Saccharomyces cerevisiae S288C: one gene and its partner. The protein of the gene in region 2 interacts with the protein of the main gene of each other region in a pairwise test. Each region holds a gene or a part of one and is shown on either strand. Other genes may lie near its edges. The genes, in order: NAR1 and CIA1.

Region 1 (8,273 bases), on a different chromosome or scaffold from region 2:
GTTTTCTGATGAAGACAAACTTGCAAGATGGTCTTCATCGGACAAATCAAAATCGAAGTCCTCAACCTCTTCGGGCTCAGTAATTCCGGAAGTTCCATTGTCCAAAGTAGAATCGTACTCAGAGTCTGTATCAATGATATCGAATTCATACGTTTCCGCTCTTGACCTTCTGATCCTTCTCCTTGATTTCATAAAAAACATGAAGTATAACACCAAAAATGTGGCGCCAATCAAAAATATTGTTAAAAAATAATGCATGGCTTGCCTAGGAGAGGAAAGTTTTTTAGGAGTGTTTGGATCAGAATCAGGATCGGTACTCGCAGTAGTCGTTTGGGGAATGGCCGACGTTTCCACACCAATTGAGATAGAAGATGTAGAAGTAGCGCTGATGGAAATAGAAGTTGAACTGGCAGAATATTGTGATACGGTACTTTCTGTAGCAGCTGGTTCAACCTCCTCTTTATCGTTTCCAAAGACGAAAGTTTCTGTTTTAGATGAATCAATGGATTCCCCAAAGAGCTTCAGCCTCCAACTGTGGAAGTCAATCCTGTGTCCATTTTCTGTTGTCTTAACCTTGATTTTCCAATCACCTACGCCGTTCTCACCCCAATGTGCTACAGACATGAATGTCCAGTCTTTGAATCCCTCTGATGAAACATCTCTTGGTCTTACAACGCCAAGGTTTGAAATTATCCCCGCTGGTGATATTAAATCGACAGTCGTAGTTCCCCTAATTTCTGTATCAATATCTACAGTTACCGTGACGTGCTCAATTCTCTTGAAGTTAGCATCTTGAAGACTTTTTTCTGATATGGTTATGACGGATTCTAATGTCTCTTCCGTGGAGTTTGTGGACTGGGAAACATACAATGTTGGCAGGTAAAACCAGGTTTGTGCGTTAACATTCTCCCAGGTCTTGGACATTTCAATTAACTTATGGGCATCGATTTTACCAAAGCCATAGCGATGAGAGTATTTCTTCCCCATGGCGCTATCTCTCCAATCTCCGTCAGCGTTCTTTTCTAACCCTACCGCAGACAAGATTGATAAATACTGTACGTCTCTCCAAGTTAGGTTTGGGTTGGCTTCTAGTAACAAAGTGTAAACACCGGCAGCTAATGGAGCAGCCGCAGACGTTCCACCGTGGCTATTACTGCATCTGCCGTTGATATCACTCGAATGAATATATTCGCCTGAACCTGAAGAATACGTGACTGCCATGACGGCGGAACAACCTTCGGAATAAGGAGGATGTAGATCTTTGTGATCAATAGCCCCAATAGTAATAGAATATATGGAATTAGTATAGCCGTCGTAATTGCAATTATCACCACGAGTTCCACCATTTCCACTGGCAAAAACGTAAATCGCTCCTTTGGAATCTCTTCCCTCAGTAACACCTTTTACTAAAGCCTTTTTCACCAGGTCACTAGGGCCTTGTAAATGTCTTCCGTCATCAGCGGGACCCCATGAGCATGAATATATATCGTTTACGTCTAGACCATAAATCAAGGACGCAGCTTCATCTTCCGTAGTGATATCACCGGATAAGATTCTTATGCCTGAGATTTTAGCGTTGTAACCTACCCCGACACCGCAAAAATTGTTACCTTTTTTGGCAGCTATTTCACCTGCACATCTCGTACCATGGTAGTCATCAGATAATCTTGGTTTAGGTAAATTGGTATTGTCGTTGAAATCCCAAGAACCTTCAGCGCAAAAATTATCCTTCAAGTCTTCATTTTCGTAGTCAAGGCCATCATCAACAATGGCAGCCACGACCCCTGCGCCTGTAATATTATTGTACCACAGATCAAGAACATTTATATCACTGCCAGGAAAACTTGGATTGACCAAGTGCCACTGCCTCTCAAAAAGCGGATCATTTATGCTGAGTTTATCCTCAGCTTCTTTTACCGGTAACAAGCTTGAGTCCATTGGTGGAGCAGGCACCGGTAGTCTCTTAAATAGGTCGTTACGCGGGAATAAATCATGGACAGATAATATGTGGTCGTTGTTATCCCCCTGTAACTCTTCTAATGATGATCTTTTGCCCAATTTTAGCAACTCTTTTGAAAAAACATAATGGTTTGGTAGCCCTCGAACATCATGTTCATATTTCCAATTTGGATGCATTTCCTCCAAGCGGGATAATGTTTCATTGCTTTCTACAGCAAAATACTGTCGTGACGTATGGTCCTTCAATGGAATTTGTTGTGATGATACAAGAGCGGATGTTGAAAAGGCCCACCAAAAGCATAAAGTAATATATTTCCTCACTTTCATCTGATAATGGGTTAGTAGTTTATAATTATGTGACGAGGCCAAAAAACAACGGGATTAGTTTATCCTTAGTATGGTAGCCGAATGAATGAAATATGTGGAATAGATTTCTCTTTTACAAAACGGGATGTTTAAGCCAGGAAAAAGAACAGGCTTATGACAGAATTATGCATATGAAACGAGAGAAAGAACACGTCCAGCAAATATGGAGTACCTTGTTTGCCTTTAGAAAATGTTTCGGTTTCAATACTGTTCTCTTCAGCGATGCTGTTGAAGTATCAGCTCAGTTATTTAATATGCTAACCTTTCCTTTGTTTGTTTTCTTTTTCTATCTTTATTTTTTTTCCATTTACCGTTTTTTGCGTTTCAGAAAATGACCCTCATTGATTATATGAATAATAATATACACGTTATCATTTTTTATTTCTTTTATGTATGTATAGTAAAAATAAAACATGTCGAGATACGTGTATCTACATCAGAGCTGCTGAAACTATTTATTTGGCCAAAGCACCCATTGGGTCCCAGATGGGCAAGACAATCGGCTCTTCCTTACCTGAGGTGAATTTTGAAGCCAGCTCTTTTGGCAATTCATTGATATCGACCACAATTTGAAAGCAGTACTCCTCGAAGTACTTTTGAGTCATCACGTATAATCCGTCTTTACCGGAGTCTTTACCCCAGGAATTTTCAACGCGGTAGCGAAGTGGTAATTTAGACGTTTCATCGACGTGGCAGCCAGTGATCAACATAGCATGAGTCATCAAACTTTCATGGTATCTAATACGCGATGCCTTTTGCTGAGGTAAATTATAGCCGATGGCAGGATAGTTCCACAATTCAATATCCATGACACCAGTTTTCTTGTCCATGAACTTTGGAGTGTGAGATCCAAAAAAGACAGCTTTGTTATTTTGTAATCTCTTAACAACCAATTTAGATAGTGTTTCATTGTCAACATTTAAGTAAATCACGGCATCTCCGCCAAGGACGTTTCCTAAACGATCGATCTTAATTAATTTACCATATGGGTGTCTTGGATCATTGATCAATGAGACTGGCGTGGAAGGGTCCAATTTTGCGTATTTGGAGGCAAATTCTAACGGAGTCGATTTGATAGTGTGGATTTTCTTGTCTTTGTCAACGTATTCCCAAGTGAATTGCTCGTTTGGTTGCACTGGAGGTATGTCCATGAACAACGACATCAACCTGAAGATTTCTCTTTGCATTTGCTCTCTCAGAGTGACAATTATGGAATCATCGGCAGAACGCTCTTTCAAAGCTGTTCTTAGAGTCTCGGCAAATTCTCTCAGTTTAGTAGTCAACAGAGAATTCCATTTTCTGGACGCAGTAGTAGAATAAGGTAGATCCCCGTATAAATCTTTGGGGATAAGGCCATACTTCTTGACTAGGTTCAAAAACATGCTGTATTGGCCACCGTCTTCTGTTGGAGCTGCTAACAAGTATTGCACGAGACGTGAGTCGATGTCTTGATCAGCCGAGGAGACGATTTGGTCCAAGAAATAGTTGGCCTTTTCCAACTTATCGTAAAAGAACAAGTAAGCTTGGGACAGTTCGAATTCTTTTAAGTTCAATTCAGAAAGAACATTCAAGCGCAGTTGATTGGTAGCGGCAAACAACCAACATCTACCAGAGCTTTTTTGGTTGGTGACTGGAGTGGAATCAGTAGAGACAACAGTGTTGAAAACCCTGTTATCTTGCTTTTGCAGTCTAGTCTTGTTCAACAGTGCATCATCGGCATTATAATTCTTAAGGACAGTGGTTGCCAATTGATGGGTTAAGTCGGATTGAAACTCTTTGTTCCAAGAGTTGATCTTACTGATATCGATGGAAGAGGACATTCTTTTTAAAACAATTTGTGGTGCTCGTAAAAGGTGGCTTCTAAACGTCTTGAGATACAAGGACCGGGAAACAGAAGTAGGAAGCATGTAACAAAAGAGCAAGGGCTATTTATCGTTTATTTATGGGTGCCCGTCGGCGACTTGTCAGCCGGCGTTATCAATTGATTACCACATGCAACCCCATTGATTAAGAGAGCAGGTGACTTTCTGGTGGGAGGGGAAAAAAGGATGTGTCACTCACTACCCGGCGATTGCATGCTATTTGACACATACTAAAGCAAAATAACATATGTAGCATAATCAATAAAGCGACTATTTTCTAAATTTCAAAAAGCACTGAATATACGATGCCTCTTCACAGGATTAAGAGACAAAATTTGCCTGTTTGTAAAGCATATTGCCTGCCTTTCCGCTAGTTTTTTCTTTTCCACTTCCTATTTTCTTTTTTTACCAGTTTTCCCTGCTCATCGCATGAAGAAAAAAATGATAAAAGCGTTTTATGGTGATGACTAAGAAACTTGTCTTGTCAGCTGGAAAGATAAGAGAGGGAGCTTCCTTTTCCTGAGTGACAAGATAAGTGTACAAGAAAGCATGAGTGCTCTACTGTCCGAGTCTGACCTAAACGATTTTATCAGTCCCGCCCTTGCGTGCGTCAAACCTACCCAGGTGAGCGGGGGCAAGAAGGATAACGTTAACATGAACGGAGAATACGAGGTGAGCACGGAACCAGACCAACTGGAGAAGGTCTCTATTACCCTATCAGACTGCCTCGCGTGTTCTGGTTGTATAACGTCTAGTGAAGAAATCTTGTTGAGTAGCCAAAGTCACTCGGTTTTCCTGAAAAACTGGGGGAAGCTTTCGCAGCAGCAAGACAAATTCCTCGTTGTGAGTGTCTCGCCACAATGCAGACTATCTCTTGCGCAGTACTACGGCTTAACATTGGAGGCGGCCGATTTGTGTTTGATGAATTTTTTCCAAAAGCATTTCCAGTGCAAGTATATGGTTGGAACGGAGATGGGCAGAATCATATCGATTAGCAAAACCGTAGAGAAGATCATTGCGCATAAGAAACAAAAAGAAAATACCGGTGCGGACCGCAAGCCTCTATTATCTGCTGTGTGTCCGGGATTTCTTATATACACGGAAAAGACCAAACCGCAGTTGGTGCCTATGCTGCTCAATGTCAAGTCGCCTCAGCAAATTACGGGCTCGTTGATCAGAGCTACGTTCGAGAGTCTCGCTATCGCGCGTGAGTCCTTTTACCATCTGTCGCTGATGCCATGTTTTGACAAGAAACTAGAAGCGTCAAGGCCAGAATCGCTTGACGATGGGATTGACTGTGTCATTACGCCACGTGAAATAGTGACAATGTTACAAGAGTTGAATTTAGACTTCAAGTCGTTTCTTACTGAGGACACAAGTTTATATGGGCGGCTATCACCGCCGGGATGGGACCCGCGAGTCCACTGGGCGTCGAATCTGGGAGGCACTTGTGGTGGCTATGCCTACCAGTACGTAACGGCTGTCCAACGACTACACCCAGGAAGTCAGATGATAGTTCTGGAGGGTAGAAACAGCGACATTGTCGAGTACCGATTGCTGCACGATGATCGCATAATAGCCGCCGCCAGCGAGCTTTCCGGGTTTAGAAACATCCAAAATCTGGTGCGTAAACTGACCTCGGGCTCCGGGTCAGAGCGCAAGAGGAACATCACCGCTCTGCGGAAGAGACGAACAGGTCCAAAGGCGAACTCACGCGAGATGGCGGCCGCCACGGCCGCCACGGCCGATCCCTACCACTCGGACTACATCGAGGTAAACGCGTGTCCGGGTGCATGCATGAACGGTGGTGGCCTACTCAATGGCGAGCAAAACAGTCTCAAGCGGAAGCAGTTGGTTCAGACACTGAATAAGCGTCACGGAGAGGAGCTAGCAATGGTAGATCCTCTAACCCTGGGACCCAAGCTAGAAGAGGCGGCAGCCCGCCCGCTTTCGCTAGAGTACGTCTTCGCGCCCGTCAAGCAGGCCGTCGAAAAGGATCTCGTCTCTGTTGGGAGCACCTGGTAAGTAAGGTGTAGTTTTGCACCCGTGTACATAAGCGTGAAATCACCACAAACTGTGTGTATCAAGTACATAGTGACATTTAAATAATAGCAAGAACAACAATAATAGTAGCGCTACTGGAAGCACCACGTAATAGTGGAAAAGAACTGGAAAAACCGCTATAAGATGCATACTCCGGCGGTCTTACGCGGAGATACAAGCTTCCAACGGTGCTAAAAGCCCGGTTTCGGCTCGGCCGGAGGAGGAAGAGAGACGAAAAAAAAAAAAATGACTAAAAAAAAAATGGAATATTATTAATGTGGGATTTTTGGCTCAAGGTGTGGTGGCCCCTTTTCTAAGGGTGGCGAATTCTTCAATGTACGGAAAACTCGCCAAGGCTATCCCATATATAAGCAAACTGTGGGTTCATCTATATACCGACACATAACACCTAAAGTGGCTTCCTCCTGCCCCTCTCTCCCTTTTCTCCACTCACCCCTCCTTCTCCCCCTTCCCCCTCTCCAATTGGCTGTATAGACAGAAAGAGTAAATCCAATAGAATAGAAAACCACATAAGGCAAGATGAGTGAAGGCCCCGTCAAATTCGAAAAAAATACCGTCATATCTGTCTTTGGTGCGTCAGGTGATCTGGCAAAGAAGAAGACTTTTCCCGCCTTATTTGGGCTTTTCAGAGAAGGTTACCTTGATCCATCTACCAAGATCTTCGGTTATGCCCGGTCCAAATTGTCCATGGAGGAGGACCTGAAGTCCCGTGTCCTACCCCACTTGAAAAAACCTCACGGTGAAGCCGATGACTCTAAGGTCGAACAGTTCTTCAAGATGGTCAGCTACATTTCGGGAAATTACGACACAGATGAAGGCTTCGACGAATTAAGAACGCAGATCGAGAAATTCGAGAAAAGTGCCAACGTCGATGTCCCACACCGTCTCTTCTATCTGGCCTTGCCGCCAAGCGTTTTTTTGACGGTGGCCAAGCAGATCAAGAGTCGTGTGTACGCAGAGAATGGCATCACCCGTGTAATCGTAGAGAAACCTTTCGGCCACGACCTGGCCTCTGCCAGGGAGCTGCAAAAAAACCTGGGGCCCCTCTTTAAAGAAGAAGAGTTGTACAGAATTGACCATTACTTGGGTAAAGAGTTGGTCAAGAATCTTTTAGTCTTGAGGTTCGGTAACCAGTTTTTGAATGCCTCGTGGAATAGAGACAACATTCAAAGCGTTCAGATTTCGTTTAAAGAGAGGTTCGGCACCGAAGGCCGTGGCGGCTATTTCGACTCTATAGGCATAATCAGAGACGTGATGCAGAACCATCTGTTACAAATCATGACTCTCTTGACTATGGAAAGACCGGTGTCTTTTGACCCGGAATCTATTCGTGACGAAAAGGTTAAGGTTCTAAAGGCCGTGGCCCCCATCGACACGGACGACGTCCTCTTGGGCCAGTACGGTAAATCTGAGGACGGGTCTAAGCCCGCCTACGTGGATGATGACACTGTAGACAAGGACTCTAAATGTGTCACTTTTGCAGCAATGACTTTCAACATCGAAAACGAGCGTTGGGAGGGCGTCCCCATCATGATGCGTGCCGGTAAGGCTTTGAATGAGTCCAAGGTGGAGATCAGACTGCAGTACAAAGCGGTCGCATCGGGTGTCTTCAAAGACATTCCAAATAACGAACTGGTCATCAGAGTGCAGCCCGATGCCGCTGTGTACCTAAAGTTTAATGCTAAGACCCCTGGTCTGTCAAATGCTACCCAAGTCACAGATCTGAATCTAACTTACGCAAGCAGGTACCAAGACTTTTGGATTCCAGAGGCTTACGAGGTGTTGATAAGAGACGCCCTACTGGGTGACCATTCCAACTTTGTCAGAGATGACGAATTGGATATCAGTTGGGGCATATTCACCCCATTACTGAAGCACATAGAGCGTCCGGACGGTCCAACACCGGAAATTTACCCCTACGGATCAAGAGGTCCAAAGGGATTGAAGGAATATATGCAAAAACACAAGTATGTTATGCCCGAAAAGCACCCTTACGCTTGGCCCGTGACTAAGCCAGAAGAT
Region 2 (7,706 bases):
AATGATAATAAGTTGCAAAAGGAAGCACTTATGCGACTATCGCAGCTAAGATTTCCATTTGCCGATGCTCCAAGTATAGTACAAGCGCATCAAAAAGATGAACAAATCCAGGGCCTTTTGATTATGAAAGTGACTGAATTGTGCAAATTGATAAAGAGTCAATTGTTTGTTAACTCTTACCCTAAGGAACTGTCCATATTTGCCAAGCTCCTGTATTTGCTCTTTACTACAGGAAGACGTGGTAGAACGTTAGGTGAGGAATATGTTGACTTGACATACACTAATAGGAAGGGTACCAGACTTGCAGGACGGCTCAAAATGATTGTATTCGCTTTCGCTTATCCTTTATGTCCATATTTCATCACCAAACTATACAAGAAAATAATGAAGAACAACAAGGAAAGTAAAATTGAAGATACTGAAAGTGTTGCCGCGTTTTGTAAGGGCCTTTTAGATTTCATTTTAGACGTACACATGACCCTCTTTTATTTCAAAGGAGCTTTTTACAGTATTTCCAAAAGGATTTTTGGTATGAGATATGTTTTTAAACATATATTGTCAAAAAATGAGGCCAATTTTAGAGAAGAGGGCTCACAAAAGTACAAAGTATTAGGTTATATCCTATTAGCTCAAAATGTTATGAAATGGTACCCTGTCCTAACCTCTACGCTCGGGTCCTGGATTTATGGGAGAAAAAGGACCAATGATTCAATTACTAGGTCGTCTGTTGGTCTACAGGAGCGTTCAGAACATGAATCTATAGAAGGCATACCGAAGGAATCGCAGCTGACTCATATAAATTTGTCAGATAAAAACCAATTGCCATTTATTCCAGAAGCCTCGAGAAAATGCATCCTATGTCTCATGAACATGAGTGATCCTAGCTGCGCGCCATGTGGACATCTATTTTGTTGGAGTTGTCTTATGAGCTGGTGTAAAGAGAGGCCAGAATGCCCCTTGTGCAGACAACACTGTCAACCACAGGAAATTCTGGTCCTGCGGCAATAGAGGAACTAATCAATAATTTGACTACTCTTTTAGCATTGTCCACAGGCCTTTTTCAGAAATAACGCAGACGTCTGAGCAGGAGAAGTAAAACGCGAAGGGGAAATAATGCTTTTTAGTCTTGTAATTATATTAATTAATTAAATAAGTTTTTCTTTATCGGAATTTTATTTAAGACTTTCATTTCTCTAATGCTATTGTCAGTTACAGGTTAGAAATATATTTCCAACTATACACCAATGTGGAATAACAGCTGCTTTTGTTTGCCTTTCTTTTTATTTCCTCCACTAGTTGTGTTCAATTCCCTCAAATTATCGTGCACGTTAGTATCTTGTGTGCTTGACTTTTTACCCCACTGCTTAGGATCAGCAATTTGGGGTCTGTTCAGACCTGGAATTTGCACCTTTGGCTTTGGTGGAGGTAGTTGAGGTAGGTTGAGACTTTTCAATTTATCTTTGCTATTATTTAGAGAAGTAGAAGAGGAACCCTTTTTACTTTCCAAATAGGTTGGAGAGAAGGCGACTGTATTAGTGGAAGTTCGATAACTAACTGATTGAGGTGTAGTTCTTTTAATGTTTTGCACGGGTCTCAGAGTGTTTTTTTTTACGGTGGTTGCAAAGGGATCATACGACGCTGAAGGACTTTTCAGGGTTGGAAGATTTTTGATATTCCTAACGCCTAATGCTGCACCAGCGCTGCCCCCATCGTTTGTTCCACCCCAATGGCCCCTGCCTATTGACATTGAAAGGGAAGAATCACTAGATAAAGAAGGTAGTGAAGTTTGTCGTGCAAGGGTTTGCTCTCTTTGTTCATATATGGCGTTCAGATTATTGTATTTGGAGGAGTTTTTGGGAAAGGTTTCAGCTAAGTTATGAATCAATAAATATACATCCGCATTTGGTTTTGTGAATAACAATTTATATGATTCCAATAATTTTTCAGCACTTAAGCGACCTTTAGAATAATCTTCGTTATAAGAAGAAAACTTATTGAAGTCTTCTTTGGAATTTTCCAGATAGTATTTTGCTCTTTCTGCCAATCTTAGTCTACTTTCCTCGGGAGAACTAGCAGATCTCACATCAGTTCTAGAGCCGGATGATGAACCCGGTAGGGAAGATATAGATGGAAGGTCGTAATCATCTCTTTCCCTGATCACTCTAGATGGAGCCGAGATAAAAGTAGAAAGTTCTGACTGGAAAAACTTTGGCTTTCCCTTCAGGATATTACCATGCTCCTGCAAAATGTGGGCTTGTAACTCCAACTCGTCTTTAAATACGACAAACTTGTTATCTAAGCAAGTTTGGACGGTGCAAACGTAATGCGAATGTTTAAAGTGGTCAAAAAGCTGATTATAATCCTTAAAGTATTGAGGAGAAGCGGGGTTCATCTTATCACAAATATGGCACTTTTCATGCTGATTTCTCATGTGAATGTACAATTCGTCGTCTGAATAAAATCGTTTTCCGGAACAGAAGGCACACATAGGGTGGCCTTTGAATCCTTCTGAATTACCCTTAGTTTGATGGTTGCGTAATTGATTTTGGGTGAATATTTCAAGCTCACAAGGGAATGCATGCTTATGGGTTGCACATATTAAACAGATCATTCTGTTATGTTCAGATTTCAAGTGTTCATTATATTTCTTGAAACTACCAAAGTCACAAACTTGTTCATCCTTCGATAGGGGACAAAAAAATTTTAAAAGATTTAGTGTTTCGGTAGCAACCTCTTCGCTAGTGAAATTTATTCCATATTTTTCATTTTTTTCGCAAAAGTTATATTTATCTGAAATATCACCATCTATGCGATCGGTAAACATGACTTCTTCATTCTCCGTTCTGCAAATCAAACAGCTTTTCTTGTTGTACAAAGCTCGTTGTCTGAAACCACAGATATGGCATGTCTTATGATGGCATGGTGTTAGAGATACGTATGTTAACTTGCGCGCACAAATTACACATAATTCATTTTCTTCATCAGTATCATCTGCGCTTGAAGTGGTGAGGTTGGGTTCAGCAGAAAGGTTATTTTTCTTTTGCTTTCTTCTGAAATTCTTCCTGTCGTTGTGAGGTTTTGTATTATTTTGGGGCCCTTGAGTACGACGGAAGTTACGTGTCGGAGTAACGTTTTCTTTCACTGATTCGCTCATCCTAATTCTTGAAAAGAAGTATAGCCACTATTTTTTCGACGAAAGAGACTGTATCAAAATGCACTTTATGGATCTTTTTCAGCTAGGTATGCGCTCGACGATTTGTTGAATATGGCTGAGTGGGCAGTCGTTCAGATGCCCTTTTCAAAATCTTAAGAGAAAATCAGAAAATATAGCTATTATTAAGAGTGACCGCGAGTATGAAACTTTCAGTGTAACCTTTCTTTATTCGAGATAATGCTTAATTACAAGTCTTCCGAATATCTAATTTTTTTTTTTTTCATTTTTAAATTTCAGTTTTTACCGCATGCTTTTAATGCAGGGATATGTATAACGAGGTCACTCCGTCACACATGACAGAATTGCGTTATAGTGATACAAAGGTTTATGTAACTAGGTAGAAAAATCGTCATTAAGTTTATTTTTAGAATTCAGATCGATCACTGTGTTAATATGAGTTCCTGAATTGTACTCTTGCTTCTACATCTACGCTGCTTTTTCTAGAGACCAGAAATTTACGATCCCGTCGTCACCGCCTGTTGCAAGTATAGTTTTACCATTTAACTCCAACCACTTCACAACGTTGATTTCATAAACTCCATGACATAATGCACGTTTAGCAAAAACTTTCCATTCTCCGTCTACTTCTTCATAGACCGCTAGTACTCCATCCGCTCCTACACTAGCAATGAGGCCATTAAAGCCCCATGCAACATTGTATACCTGTCTTTTGTGTACATCCGGGAGAATAGCTTCACAAACCCATTCTTGTTGATCATCCTCGTCGTCACCCATGTATTTCCATACCCGTACAGTGGAATCGTCGCTTCCACTGCACAGTCTAAACACGCCCTCAGTCTTGTCAAAATCAGAAGACCAAACAGTTCCTTCATGGCCATTTAAGACAGCAACACATTCCCAGTCATCGTCATAGTCTTTCCATATCCTGACGGTGTCATCATAAGAACTTGAAGCCAGTAATGCTTCAGATGGATGCCATATAACATGTTTAACGTCTTGTGAATGTTCTTGCAAAACACTAATACACTCATATTCCTCGCCACTTTCATCTGTTTCCCATATCCACACGCTTTTATCTCTGGAACAGGTTGCTAGGTAATATCCATCATTCGACCACGCTACACCTTTTACTTCATTTTCGTGACCTTCGATAATAGCTAGCAGGTCCATCTCGAAAGTTCTGTCAGCAGATTCTTCCTTAGCCCAGATAGATACAGTGGAATCAAAAGAGCCAGCCGCTAACAGCGAAGTGTGAGGTCTCCACGCCACAGATCGAATCGCCTTTTTATGAGCAGTCTCATCTAGCACATCAATTAACGTAAAATCGTCATATTTCACGCTAACTAGCTTAATTTTTCGATCAGTTGAACCTGTTGCTAATATACCTTGAGAAAAGTCAAAAGACCATATCTTTTCCTTGTAAAGTTTCAAAGACTTAATCAGATTGATAGACGCCATTACCAAATAAGTAAACCAATTGAACTATTAAAATGTCGTGGTATAGCCCGATTTTGATTTGTGATATCTACAAATCTAGTATTTATTCGCAATTAATGAGGCAAAGACGATACAATATTCGATGTGAGATTTTTCAAAACACGGCCCGCTGAGAGCAGAAAGTTTTAGATGACCTATTTGAAGGCAATCACGATGGTATTTTTCAAGAAAATAAATAGTAGTAACACTGCTATGCACATCAGAGTCAGATTCCTTAAATTCAAACGTTTCTACAATTAGTATGACCTTTTCTTGAAGATCTTTTTCTCCTTATAAAGGCAACACAAAACAAGATAGAAGTGCAAAGGTATTTTTTGTTTTTCACGTGATAAAATCGGCTTCGAGAAAGTAGAAAAGGGTATTATGATTTATTACAGGCTACCTGCACCATCTCAAAGGTTTTACGTTACTAAGGAGTGAATCAGGTTTTGATAAATATTTACACTATCTTTTACAAGGAAGATGTCGAATAAGCAGGCGGTTCTGAAGTTAATCAGTAAAAGGTGGATAAGCACAGTGCAACGTGCCGATTTTAAGCTGAATTCCGAAGCGCTTCATAGTAATGCTACGGTATTTAGTATGATTCAGCCAACTGGGTGTTTCCACCTTGGTAATTATCTAGGTGCTACACGTGTTTGGACAGACTTATGTGAATTAAAACAACCTGGCCAGGAATTGATATTTGGAGTTGCTGATTTACACGCTATCACTGTTCCAAAGCCAGATGGAGAAATGTTTAGAAAATTTCGCCATGAGGCAGTAGCAAGTATACTGGCTGTCGGTGTAGATCCAGAAAAGGCTTCGGTGATCTACCAATCCGCCATCCCTCAACACAGTGAATTACACTGGTTGCTTTCTACTCTTGCCTCGATGGGATTACTTAACCGCATGACGCAATGGAAATCAAAATCGAATATCAAACAATCAACTAATGGGGATTATCTGGTTAACGATTCTGACGTGGGAAAAGTTAGACTGGGCTTATTTTCGTATCCTGTTTTACAGGCAGCGGATATTCTACTTTATAAATCTACACACGTTCCTGTTGGCGATGATCAATCGCAGCATTTGGAACTAACAAGACACCTTGCTGAAAAGTTTAACAAAATGTACAAGAAAAATTTTTTTCCTAAACCTGTAACTATGTTGGCACAAACGAAAAAAGTTTTGAGCTTAAGCACGCCTGAAAAGAAAATGTCCAAGAGTGATCCGAATCACGACTCTGTAATTTTTTTGAATGATGAGCCTAAGGCAATTCAGAAAAAGATTAGAAAAGCTTTAACAGATTCCATTTCTGATAGGTTCTACTACGACCCTGTAGAAAGACCAGGCGTATCGAATTTAATTAACATTGTCAGTGGCATTCAAAGAAAATCGATTGAAGATGTCGTAGAAGATGTATCTCGTTTCAATAACTATAGGGATTTCAAAGATTATGTTTCAGAAGTGATAATTGAGGAATTGAAAGGCCCAAGAACAGAATTTGAGAAATATATCAACGAACCGACCTATTTGCATAGTGTCGTTGAATCTGGCATGCGCAAAGCGAGAGAAAAAGCAGCAAAAAACCTGGCCGACATTCATAAAATAATGGGCTTCTGACTGTCCCCGGCTTTAGGCTGCTGCAAACGCAATGTAAATAATAATACAGTTTAACTTGTACGTATCTTTGTTATTTCAGAATATGCAAGATTCCTCACTCGGCAGATCTCATCAATAAACGTTAGTATCTTGAAAAATACGCAGATGTTGGTACAGTCTCTTGCAGAGGGCCAGCACCGTTAGAATGTTGTGTTGCCACCGTCTGGCTCGAAAACAGGTCGATCTGTGTAAGTATTGTCCTGGGTGCAGTTATTTGTAGTAGCGATTTTCGCGGGCAGTGGAAAAGAACGGGTGCAGTGCGGCGATGAGTGCAATTAGCTGCCGAAGGGTTTGCACCGGTGATTCCGAGACCTTTTGCACACACTTGTATATATTTAGGGAAGTCACGGTAACTAATGGATTTCTTCTCAAATTTGAGACATATGGATTAGACTTTAATTCTGCCTGGTACTAAGCTACTTTTCAAAGGTATTTGAGATATTTCGTAAATTTTGCGGCCAAGGAGTTGAGGTGTTTAATACTTAAAACGAAATGAGAGAAGTGATACTTGCTGTACATGGAATGACATGCAGCGCCTGTACTAATACAATCAATACGCAGTTACGAGCTTTAAAGGGTGTAACAAAATGTGATATTAGTTTAGTGACTAATGAGTGCCAGGTGACATACGATAACGAGGTTACCGCCGATTCTATTAAGGAAATTATAGAGGATTGTGGATTTGACTGTGAGATACTAAGAGATTCTGAAATTACAGCCATAAGTACGAAGGAAGGACTACTGAGTGTACAAGGTATGACCTGTGGGTCTTGTGTTTCTACAGTCACCAAACAAGTGGAAGGCATTGAGGGTGTTGAATCGGTAGTCGTTTCCTTGGTAACGGAAGAGTGCCATGTTATTTATGAACCGTCCAAGACAACGCTAGAAACCGCCAGAGAAATGATTGAAGACTGTGGATTTGACTCAAATATTATTATGGATGGCAACGGGAATGCAGACATGACCGAAAAAACGGTGATCTTGAAAGTAACTAAGGCTTTCGAGGACGAATCCCCACTCATACTTTCTTCAGTAAGCGAAAGGTTTCAATTTTTGTTAGACCTAGGTGTAAAATCGATAGAAATTTCTGATGATATGCACACACTCACCATAAAATACTGTTGTAACGAACTCGGCATTAGAGATTTATTGAGGCACCTTGAGAGGACCGGATATAAATTCACTGTATTTTCCAATTTAGATAATACTACCCAGTTAAGGCTTCTCTCTAAAGAGGACGAGATAAGATTCTGGAAAAAAAACAGCATAAAATCCACCCTTTTGGCTATAATATGTATGCTATTGTATATGATTGTCCCTATGATGTGGCCAACAATTGTTCAGGACCGCATATTCCCTTACAAAGAAACCTCCTTTGTTAGAGGTCTGTTCT

The links.
Region 1: the proteins of CIA1 (region 2) and NAR1 interact in binary tests that used the Saccharomyces cerevisiae proteins (3 or more experiments, as listed by UniProt).

The regions. Positions count from the first base shown.
Region 1 is NC_001146.8:196,441-204,713, reverse strand, and holds NAR1 (iron-sulfur cluster assembly protein NAR1), read left to right. Parts: upstream 1-4,736; coding exon 4,737-6,212; downstream 6,213-8,273. Other genes in the region: kexin KEX2, read right to left, coding at 1-2,286; LAP3 (bleomycin hydrolase), read right to left, coding at 2,781-4,145; ZWF1 (glucose-6-phosphate dehydrogenase), read left to right, coding at 6,771-8,273. UniProt on the Saccharomyces cerevisiae protein: Essential component of a cytosolic Fe/S protein assembly machinery. Required for maturation of extramitochondrial Fe/S proteins. May play a role in the transfer of pre-assembled Fe/S clusters to target apoproteins.
Region 2 is NC_001136.10:998,870-1,006,575, forward strand, and holds CIA1 (iron-sulfur cluster assembly protein CIA1), read right to left. Parts: upstream 4,634-7,706; coding exon 3,641-4,633; downstream 1-3,640. Other genes in the region: PEX10 (ubiquitin-protein ligase peroxin 10), read left to right, coding at 1-1,008; E3 ubiquitin-protein ligase HEL2, read right to left, coding at 1,235-3,154; tryptophan--tRNA ligase MSW1, read left to right, coding at 5,135-6,274; Cu(2+)-transporting P-type ATPase CCC2, read left to right, coding at 6,806-7,706. UniProt on the Saccharomyces cerevisiae protein: Essential component of the cytosolic iron-sulfur (Fe/S) protein assembly machinery. Required for the maturation of extramitochondrial Fe/S proteins.